Arabidopsis thaliana: one gene and its partner. The protein of the gene in region 1 interacts with the protein of each later gene in a pairwise test. Each region holds a gene or a part of one and is shown on either strand. Other genes may lie near its edges.

Region 1 (4,011 bases):
AATATTTGAAAAAAATATTCTCAATGAAAGATAGGCCTCAGTGAAACGGGCCAATGTTTTTTGTGTGGGCTTATATAGTCCACCCAAAACTTTACTTGTTTAAGAGGCAAACAAAGTGGACACTTGTAAGTGGTAAGGTTGTGGTCACGTTTGTGTGGCCCTTAATGCAGTAAAAGCAGAGTATGAGATGATGGTGGTAGGGAAGAAGAGCAACGAGGGCGAGAGATATCTTCTTATCCATGGCGGCTATTGCTAGTCTGCAAGCAGTTAATCTCACATTTAGGCGACGTAGCACTCGATGTGGAATTGCTGAGCCGAGCGGAGAGCCAGCTCCGATGGGGCTGAAGACTAGATACGAGGATGGGCTGGTGGAGAGAGTGTTCATGGGTCTCTTCGCGAGGAAGATGGACAAGTTCGGGTCGAAGAAGAAGAAGGACACGAAGGAGAAGGGTTTTTGGGAGTACGATTACGAGAGCTTCGTGGAGGTGTCAAAGAGAGTGATGCAGGGACGGTCCAGAGTGCAGCAGCAAGAGGCCGTGAGGGAGGTTCTTCTCTCTATGCTGCCTCCTGGTGCTCCTGAACAGTTTAGGAAATTGTTCCCACCAACGAAATGGGCTGCAGAGTTCAATGCCGCTCTTACAGTGCCTTTCTTTCACTGGTTGGTTGGTCCATCTCAGGTCATAGAAGTGGAAGTGAATGGTGTGAAACAGAGAAGTGGAGTTCGTATCAAGAAATGCAGGTAACAAGTGAATTCCATCAAAATGACTATTACTAGTTGTCTTGTTCAAAATGTGACAGACTTGCTCCTACTGTTGATTGAAGGTATCTGGAGAACAGTGGGTGTGTAGGAATGTGTGTGAATATGTGCAAGATTCCAACCCAAGATTTCTTCACCAATGAGTTTGGCCTCCCACTCACCATGAACCCAAGTATGTAACATATCTCCTTTTGACCATCCTTATACATTGGTGTTTGTTTTCATTAGCCATCTCTCCATTTTGGTTTGTAGATTATGAAGACATGAGCTGCGAGATGATATACGGGCAAGCACCTCCGGCCTTTGAGGAGGATGTAGCCACCAAGCAACCTTGTCTAGCAGATATATGTAAGTCTTACAATGCTCAGATTGCATACATGCATGCAAGATGTATCTAACATGATGGTGATGATGTTGCCTGCAGGTTCTATGTCGAATCCAAGCTCCCCAATCTGCCCTAAACTAGAGGCATGAGTGGAGTGGATCAGCAGCCACTTCTTTGACGGGATGTGCAATTTCCAAGCGATATACATACTTTTTTTCTTTTCCAAACACATACATTACATATAAAAGACAGTTGTGAAGACGAGTTAGTGTTCTTTGTTACTATTCTGGTTGGGTTGTGTAAAGTATACGATAATACACTTGAGCTTACTCATCTTCTTTATGTTTTAAGTTTGAACTCGCCATGTTGGTTATAACTTGGATCTCAAGTGTTACTTGCAGTTTGTATTGTAATATAAAACCAAAAACTGAGATTAGCTTAGCTTTAAAGTAACCCTCTCTGCTTATATGGATATCAGATACTTACTGTAGTTTTGCTTTAACGACTTACTTTCATGGAATGTTTAGTTTGCGGTTTGGTGCTTTGATACACACTGAAAGACTTAACTTTCATTTGACTTGCACACACAAAAAAAGAAAAAAGAATTCTGTTCCTTGTTTTGTTTCCTGCAACTCCAACTGACTAGGGAGTGAACAGAACAGAGTAAATGTTTAGATAAAGAAAATCTGTTCATAGTTTAATTTATAGAGAGACATATAGCTAGGAGAAGTGGAACAGATGAGGCATTAATGTTTGAATGGGCCAATTAATTGACACCCCCAAGTGTACGAACACACAAAATGAGAGGTGGTTCATTGAAAGCACAGAGAAGTTGTCGGCTTTTCAAAGATACACTGCCCAACAAACAATCGTCATGAAACTACAACAAAGGTCAGTTTCATATATCTTCTAATCGCATTTGTTAGTTTACCTAAGAGTTAGACGCCATCTGTTTGTTTCTGCTACTTTTCCTTACTCTTTAACGACGAGGTCCTGAGGAAGAATGATTGAAGCTGGTAATCATGTGATGACTCACTCTTTCAGCTTTACAACACACTTCCATCTTCTAAAGTGATATTTAATAACCCTTACTTTTTTTCTTTCTTTTTCCCTTTTTTTTCCCTTTATCTCAAATATAGAAGGCCAACCAAAAAGATGAAGGATATGAAGATGCAGAGCAGCCCTGAAACGATGATGACCAGAATCCCCACTCCAGATCCTCACAGTACCGGTGTACGAGAAGATGCAATGGACTCAGTCTGCAAACCCTGGAAGCTTTATGAAAATCCATACTACTGCTCTTCTCAGTCTCAACAGCATCAACACCAACGCAAGGCATTTATTTGGGATCTGAATTTCATAAAGGTGTTCATGGAATCTGAACTAGGAAAAGCTCAAGACGAGATCAAGGAATTGAAGGCAGAACTGGACTATGAGAGAAAAGCTCGAAGACGGGCAGAGCTGATGATCAAGAAGCTGGCTAAAGATGTGGAGGAGGAGAGAATGGCTAGAGAAGCGGAGGAGATGCAAAACAAGCGGCTCTTCAAAGAGTTATCGTCTGAGAAGTCAGAGATGGTTCGGATGAAACGAGATCTTGAAGAAGAGAGACAGATGCACAGGTTGGCAGAGGTTTTGAGAGAAGAGAGAGTTCAGATGAAGCTGATGGATGCAAGGCTTTTCTTGGAGGAGAAGCTATCTGAATTAGAGGAAGCTAATAGACAAGGAGAGAGGGAGAGGAATAGGATGATGAAACCTAAGATATTGGAGAGAGCGTGTAGCTCACCGGCTAGGAGGAGGTGCGAGAATCCGCAAATAAAGAGAGGAATCAATCCGTTCCCAAGAGTGATGAGAGCAATAAGATCAAAGAGTGAGAAATGGGGTTCAAAGCTGGAGTGCCAAAAGGTTCAGCTCAAAATTCTGCTCAGACAAAAGACCACCCCAAGATGTACTCCTCTTCTCTCCTCTCCTCCTCCTTGATACTGTATGCTTGTCTTTTGTTCGCCTCGCTCAATCTCAATAATTCACATCTAAGACTGAAGATGTACTAATAAGATTCTCTTTGTCTGTCCGTTAGATAATATTTTATTCACATGGATGTGTTATACATAGCATATATATTGACGTCTATTAAAGATGGATTGGAAGAAAATGATTATCCCATTATCCAAATTTGTTATGTTGAGTCGTCTCGGACAAGATCAGACAAATATACATAGTTTTCTGCACCTAAAGCTTTCTTCTATCGCTGGTATAGTTTTGAAGGATCTTATAAGGATCTATAAAGAATTAACAAAAGTTTTTGAAAGATTGAATGAATGTTTTGAAACGATTTACAAGAGATTTTAATGATCTATAAGATTTTAAAATGATTTACAAATGGTTTTCAACGGATTTATAAGAGGTTTAAAAGATTTATAAAAAGTTTTACAAGAGTTTAAAAAAAGATTTTCAAGAATTTTTAAAAAATAAGGGGTTATTTAAAGGATTTACAAAGATTTTATAAGAGGTTTAAAAAGATTTACAAGAGGTTTTAATAGAATTGTATAAGAGTTTATAAATGATTTACAAGAATTTTAACAAGATTTTTTTTTAAGTAATTGCAGAAAATTTTAGTGTAAAATTTTCACGTTTGCGGATAATTTTTGACGAAGAAATTTCACCTTCACATTATTTGGTCTCACTAAAAAAAGGTGATATAGTCATTTTGTATATAAAAATGTGTATTGTGAAAATAGACTAGAAGAGAGGAAGCTCATTTTATTGTCCAACTATATGCAATTAACACAATTATTCGCCAACTATCGTGTGCACAAATTTAATTTTTAACTTGTCGTTGACTTAACAATTTTACTAGTTAATAGAAAAACGTTAAATGACTCAATTAAAACCTAATAAATTTAGAAAATCTCCAAATTTCCTCCCAAATTGG
Region 2 (7,540 bases), on another chromosome or scaffold:
AAGGCTTAAAAATATGGCCAAATTATTATTATTATATATATATATATATATATTTATTATTTTTTTTGAACGGAAAAAAGCCAGAACTGTAGTCATATACATATATCTGAATATAGCGTTTAAAAAATAATTGTGTTATCATTGTATGACACTCAAAATTTTCATTTTTTGCCAATTTTCTTTTTAGGGTACATTGATAACATAAGATCAATAAAAATATATTATGGCATCAGTTAGGTAACATACAGTATATAAACAAAAGCCACATGTTGAAAATACGTAAATAAGTATGCAACAACACTATATCGTGATAAGAACTAATATTCAACAACACTACTTTATTATCGTAGCAAAGTATGATAATCATAAACATTTATTTTCACACAGTAACTATTTTTTTAAAGATAACATCATAAAAGTCAACATTATATTAAATATAGTTATAACATAATGTATATTCTTTTTTATTTATTGTACTGTAAATTTATTCAACAACCAAAAAACTTCCTTTTATGAATATGAAAAGAATTTGAGAAGCTTTGAAATGGTAATCTTTATATTCTACAATAAATCTTTATATTCTACTATAAAAAAATATTTTCACTGATGATCAGATGATGCATCAAACTTTTTTTTTTTTTTTTCCTTTTGCAGAACTCAATATACTGATATTTCAAATCTGAAAAATACGACCAATTTTTTTTTATTTTTTTTAAACGAAAAAGTGAGAATTGTAGAATTGTAGTGATATAGTGAAGATCGGATTTTAAAATAATTATATCATTATACGATATTTAGACAAATCACTTTTTTTTTTGCAAATGTTCTTTTAAGTTTACATCTAAATTTGAAGATATAAACTCGATAAAAATATATTATGGCATTAATAAAGTAACATATTTAAACATAACGCACATGTTGAAAACACGAATGTAAGTATTCACCAACACAATATAATATCCTCCAAAATGCGATTCAACATTTTTCTGCCAAATACGATTTCACATTTGTTTTAATAAAACATGATTTCATATTTTTCCACGAAAACATGATTCCGTGGTTTTTCCACTAAAAATATGATATTAATCATAACTATTTATGTCACTAAATATTATTCAATGGTAATAATTATTGATTAATTATTCTATTTAATTAATTAATTATTTTATTTTCAGGAATCAACTCATTTAACCATTAAACCATCAAATAATTGGATTAATGAATTGACTCAATCCGTTCAACAAATGAATTGAATCAACTCATAAACCATTTCAGCCTAAACTTGGATTATGGATTGGTTTGAATGAGTTTATCCATTTTGACATCTCTAACAATACATATCTACATATGAACTAATATTCAACAACACTATTTATTCTCATAGTAATGATAATCTTAAATGTTCATTTCCATACCAAACTATTAAGAAAAGAAAAACAGTATAAAATTCAACATTATTCCTATAATAAAGATAGTTATATTTTTTTTTTTGCAAAATAAGAAATATAGTTATTTTGTTTTGTGAAATTAATAAATATAGTTATCACATAATGTCTGTCCTTTTTTCTTTATTCCTGATAATGTAAAATTTGTTCAACAAAAAAAATACACTTCCTTACGAAATAGAGATGTAACGTCTATAAGTCTGCAAAGAATTACCTTAATGTATAGTTCTTTTCATTAAGGTAAGCATTCTATTCTACCATATACAAATATTCCCATTGATAATTCACTAATCTTTTCTCTATTAGTATTCATCATGATGTTTATTTTATTTTTTTGACTAAATTTGTTAGTATTTTTTTGAGAAAAAAAGAAAGAAAAAACTAAGTGTGACGAGACACGAAAACACTAGACAAGGAGGGGCTTTGACGAGACCCGAACAAACAAATGTGAATTTAAAAAAACCCATTAAAATAATTAAAAATAATGGAAATTTAAAAATAGAAAATAATAGTGTCTCTCGCTTTCCTTCATGCGTTCTCTCGCAGTCGCAGGCGACTATCAAGTTTCAGAACTCGAGATTCATCATTCTCTGTTCCACTTCCGGCGATGTATTATAATCCCTAGACCTTAGTTCCGGCGAACTCTCGAAGAACAAACAAGTATATATTATTATTTTCTTCTTAGTGTTTCGTGCTGTTTCCACGATTCCTTCGTTTTATCTTGGATCTACAGTTTTACATTCTTCTGTTTTTCTTCACTTTCATTGTTTCCACTGCGTTGTTCTGATTAGGTATTGCACAGGTTTTGAAATGTCAGTGAAAACGCGAAGCTGAGAGAGGAGAAGGAAGAAATCGAAGGAAGCTGATTCAAATTTAGGAAGAAGAAAAAATGTCAGGTTCGAGAGTTTCGGATCTGAGTAAATTGCATCTGAAGAAGGAGCTGACTCAAATCAGAAAAGCTGGCCGTGTTTTACGCGATCCAGGTACTACTTCCTCCTGGAAATCTCCTCTCGATTCGTCAAGATCCGTCGCGCTTTTGGAGACTCCGGCGAGCAGAAACGGTGGCAGTTCGAGTCAGTTTCCGATTCGAGGAGAGAGTAGTACTAATCGTCGTGGGAAAGAGAAGAAGGTGTTTTTGTATAACTGGAAGACTCAGAAATCTTCTAGTGAGAAAAGTGGATTAGCTAAGAATGGTAAGGAAGAAGAGGAAGAAGAAGAAGATGCTTCTTCGTGGACGCAAGCTAGTGTTAATGATGATGATGATGTGAGTGATGCGAGGAATGGTGGTGATTCGTATCGTAGAGAAATACAATCAGCTTCGATGGGTTTTAGGTGTAGAGATACGAATCTAGCGTCACAAGGTGTGTCAAAGATGAGGAAGAGTAATGTTGGTAGTTGTAAGAAGAAGAGTAAGAAAAAAATTAGCTCTTCTCGTTTGGATTGTTTGTCAAAGTATCAACCTAGAGATGACATTGTTGCTAGAAATTGTAATGCTGGATCAGATGACACAGAGGAGGAATTGAGTAATTCAGAGGATTTGAGGAAGGTCACTGGTGCGTCTCCTTTGCTTTTGAAGCTTAAGCAGAAGAACTGGTCACGTTCTTCGTCAAGATTGTTGAGAGCTAATAATAGAAAAGAGGATTCTTCATGTACTTATAATAGTACACCGGCTTTATCCACTAGTTCGTACAATATGTATGCTGTTCGTAATCCCAGCACTGTTGGATCTTGGGATGGTACCACGACTTCGGTGAATGATGGTGATGATGAGTTGGATGATAACTTGGATTTACCAGGGAGGCAAGGATGTGGTATTCCGTGTTATTGGACGAAGAAGGCGATGAAACATAGAGGCGGATGCAGAAGTTGTTGCTCTCCATCGTTTTCGGATACTTTGAGAAGAACCGGAAGTAGCATTTTGTGTGGGAGTCAATCTGTGTATCGTAGACATAATAGACATTCTTCTGGAGGGTATAGTAAACAAAAAATTGCTTGTAGAAGTGCACAAGGTGTTTTACCTTTACTCAGTTACGGTGGTGATGGTAGAGGAGGGTCTTCTTTAGGAACCGGGCTTAGTGATGATGAGCTTTCTACCAATTATGGAGAGCTTGATTTAGAGGCTCAGAGTAGATTAGACGGGAGGAGGTGGTCTACTAGTTATAGGAGTCAAGATGGTTTGGAGGCTGTAGCGTTAGATGGAGAAGAAGAAGAAGGAAGTACACCGGAAACAATCCGAAGCTTCAGCCAAAAGTACAGACCAATGTTTTTTGAGGAATTGATTGGACAAAGTATAGTGGTTCAATCGTTAATGAACGCTGTTAAAAGGAGTAGGATCGCTCCTGTTTATCTTTTCCAGGGTCCTAGAGGAACTGGTAAAACATCAACCGCAAGGATTTTTTCAGCCGCCCTGAATTGTGTGGCCACTGAAGAAATGAAGCCTTGTGGGTACTGTAAAGAGTGCAATGATTTCATGTCTGGGAAAAGTAAGGATTTTTGGGAACTTGATGGAGCTAATAAGAAGGGAGCTGATAAGGTTAGGTACCTTTTAAAAAACCTACCGACGATACTTCCACGAAATTCCTCAATGTACAAGGTTTTTGTGATAGACGAGTGTCATTTGCTGCCATCGAAGACGTGGCTGTCTTTTCTTAAGTTTCTTGAAAACCCTCTGCAGAAAGTTGTCTTCATATTTATAACTACTGACCTTGAAAATGTTCCCCGGACCATTCAGTCAAGGTGCCAGAAGTTTCTCTTTGACAAACTCAAAGATTCTGACATAGTAGTGAGACTAAAGAAAATTGCTTCAGACGAAAATCTTGATGTAGACTTGCATGCGTTGGACCTGATTGCTATGAACGCGGATGGCTCACTTCGAGATGCTGAAACTATGTTGGAGCAGCTGAGTTTGCTGGGAAAACGCATCACCACAGCTTTAGTAAACGAGCTAGTAAGTTTTTCTAGTTCTTTCTGTAACTGTGCACTGAAAAAAAGTAAAATTTATTAAAGTTAAAAATGTGGCATTATGTGTTTGTTCAGGTTGGTGTTGTTTCAGATGAAAAATTGTTGGAACTCTTGGAATTAGCATTGTCTTCTGACACAGCAGAGACTGTTAAGCGAGCTAGAGAGTTGTTGGACCTTGGAGCTGACCCAATAGTCTTGATGTCTCAACTCGCCAGTCTTATTATGGATATCATTGCTGGTACATACAAGGTCGTAGATGAAAAATACAGCAACGCCTTCTTTGACGGAAGAAACTGTGAGTTCCCAGCAAAGTATTTACATATTGGTCATATGTGCTAAAAAAGTAGTTTAGTGAGGCGTTATGATCTGGTAGCTTGTTGAGATCATTGCCCGTTTCATATTTTCTAACACCCTTAAGCTAATATATCCTGTAAGAGCAATTTTACTCCCTACGATGAGTCATAAACCACTTGGTTTGATTTTCGAAAATTCTTGCTTCGTTTTTGTAGTGACTGAAGCAGATATGGAGGGATTAAAGCATGCTTTGAAACTTCTTTCTGAGGCTGAGAAGCAGCTGAGAGTTTCTAATGACCGTTCAACATGGTTCACAGCGACTTTGCTTCAGCTTGGGTCAATGCCTTCTCCTGGCACCACACATACAGGCAGTAGTAGAAGGCAAAGCTCTAGAGCAACTGACGATGACCCAGCAAGCGTTTCAAGGGAAGTGATGGCTTACAAACAGAGAATAGGAGGACTTCACTTTAGTAAGTCGGCATCTCCAGCTTCGGTTATAAAAAGGAACGGGAATCATTCCCATGAAGCGAAACCATTCTCCAGGGTTATCGATAATAACTGCTATAAATCCTCCTCATCTAGCCAAATGATAGAGAGCGAAGGTTCCATTGCCTCACATGAAAATAGCATCGCAAGCACCATGATGCTTAATCAAAGAAGTTCAGAGAAACTTAACGATATATGGAGAAAATGTATTGAAAGATGTCACTCAAAGACACTGAGGCAGCTGCTCTATACTCATGGGAAACTTATATCTATCAGTGAAGTTGAGGGTAAAAAGCCTAAAAGTTTCTTCTTTTCTCACTTTTTTGGTTTTCTCCTTTCCAAAGATTCTAATAAAATGAACATGACATGATTTGCAGGTATTCTCGTTGCTTATATCGCGTTTGGAGAAAACGATATCAAACTGAGAGCTGAAAGGTTTCTAAGCAGTATCACAAACTCGATTGAAATGGTACTAAGGCGAAGCGTAGAGGTCAGGATAATTCTCTTGCCTGAAACCGAGTTACTCGTTGTCCCTCACCAAACCCGGAAACCAGAAATGACCAACAAAAGTGGGCATCTAAATAACATCGCTGGTTTAAATGCCGAAACAGATGTTGAAGTTGGTAGCAGCGTGGAAAGCAGATCAAAACTCCCGATGCAAAGGATAGAATCAATCATCAGAGAACAAAGATTAGAAACCGCTTGGTTACAAACCGCTGATAAAGACACACCTGGATCGATAATACGGGTAAAACCCGAAAGGAATCAGATTCTACCTCAAGAAGACACTTATCGCCAAACTAACGTAGCTTCTGCTATTTCTTCTTCTGGCCTAACCACTCACCAATGGGTAGATGAGCTAAACAATGAAGTTAAGCTTTTGAAAATCGGCGACAATGGTGAGCTTCAGGAGAATCTAACCGGTACAAGAGGACAGCATTGTCCTCTTTCCCCAAGCTTACTTCATGATACTAACTTCGGAAACAACAAAGACAATCTGTAAGTTCCTCACTCTGATCCTTTTCGATACAAAACCGAAAAGAAAAAACAAATAAGATCTTTATAATCAACGTATTGTCGTAATGATGTCATGTTTGGCTTTGGTTGTGTAGAGGAGGATACGAATCAGGATCAGGAAGAGTTGGTTGTAATATATTATTTTGTTGGAACACAAAAAAGACTCAGAGACGAAGCAAGGTTTGTGCTAATAACTCGAATCTGTTCCTCCTTTTCGATGTTTTCTTTGTCTCATTTGTTTTTCATTTGCGGATTTGATTAGTCGAAACAGGTCAAGGGAACTCCTGTTCGTTCGCGGAGAAATCGGAAGAGTCGGTTCTCTCTGTTTAATGGATGTGCTAAGCCAAGGAAAGCAGAAGGTAACATTAGAAGATGAAACTAAGTTCTTTAGTCATGAAAAACAAAATTGTTCCCTCAAGCTCTAATTTATCATCTGTTCTTCCACTTCCACATAGTTTTCCCTTAATTATGTTTGATAATGATATGTCAAAGGACAGTTTTAATATATTCACTGTAAAGTTCCTATCCATTTTTGTTATCTATCTTATAAAAACTTCAAAAATGTTACTGTGAAATAATCGACGAATTGGTTAACCTTGCACATTAGTTTATATTTTTCAATTTTTTTGTGTTGCATTTGTTGGAAAAATAAATAATATTTATTATTTGTGATTTACCTTTTTCAGTTATTGTAATTTTTAGTTTCATATTTACTTGGTTTATGACACATATTGAAACTATTGAAACAAATCAAAATTTCTATTGTTAAACTCTTTTCAAGTCTTAAAAAATATTAAAATTTTAAAATGAACAAAAAGGTTATGTAAGTTTTGTTTCACCTAACTTAAGCGGGGAGATGAAAAGTTGAAAAGTTAGTAAATGTAATAGACCAAAGGGTTTGTCGCGGAGAATAAATTATAAAAGAAAACAAACTATAATTTTGATATTTATAAATATATTTTTTGGAACAAATATTTATATTTATAATATTTTATGTAATTTATTTTCTATATATATCATCCAAAAATTTAGTGGAGTATATTTTAAAAAAAAAAAAATCAAAACTATTTAATACTTGGAATTTCAACAAATATTATATTACTCTATGTTATATAACCTTAAATCGGTTTGGACCTTCCAGTTTTACGTAAATCAAGTTAATAATGTAAACTAGGAAAATTAAAATTTAGATAAAGAATAGCTGAGATCAAACTGTCTCAGATTTTGTTTTTGTTTTTGATTTATTTTAGTAATTAACGAATCATCACGATATAGTAGTGATAAAATTATAAATTTATAATATTAAGCTGTTGAAAATAGAATATTATTATATATAA

The links.
Region 2: the proteins of BLT (region 1) and STI interact in a two-hybrid assay, tested with the Arabidopsis thaliana proteins (one study listed by BioGRID).

Annotation. Positions count from the first base shown.
Region 1 is NC_003070.9:24,035,832-24,039,842, forward strand, and holds BLT (branchless trichome), read left to right. Parts: upstream 1-1,643; 5' UTR 1,644-1,839; coding exon 1,840-1,973; exon of another isoform or gene 1,974-2,221; coding exon 2,222-3,059; 3' UTR 3,060-3,346; downstream 3,347-4,011. Other genes in the region: AT1G64680 (beta-carotene isomerase D27), read left to right, coding at 240-739, 823-929, 1,010-1,105, 1,182-1,231. UniProt on the Arabidopsis thaliana protein: Acts as a key regulator of trichome branching. Could participate with STI in the same pathway. Also plays a role in integrating endoreplication levels with cell shape.
Region 2 is NC_003071.7:658,759-666,298, forward strand, and holds STI (AAA-type ATPase family protein), read left to right. Parts: upstream 1-1,896; 5' UTR 1,897-2,105; intron 2,106-2,236; exon of another isoform or gene 2,237-2,247; 5' UTR 2,248-2,334; coding exon 2,335-4,392; intron 4,393-4,481; coding exon 4,482-4,701; intron 4,702-4,915; coding exon 4,916-5,473; intron 5,474-5,563; coding exon 5,564-6,185; intron 6,186-6,298; coding exon 6,299-6,383; intron 6,384-6,465; coding exon 6,466-6,579; 3' UTR 6,580-6,877; downstream 6,878-7,540. UniProt on the Arabidopsis thaliana protein: Acts as a key regulator of trichome branching through an endoreduplication-independent pathway.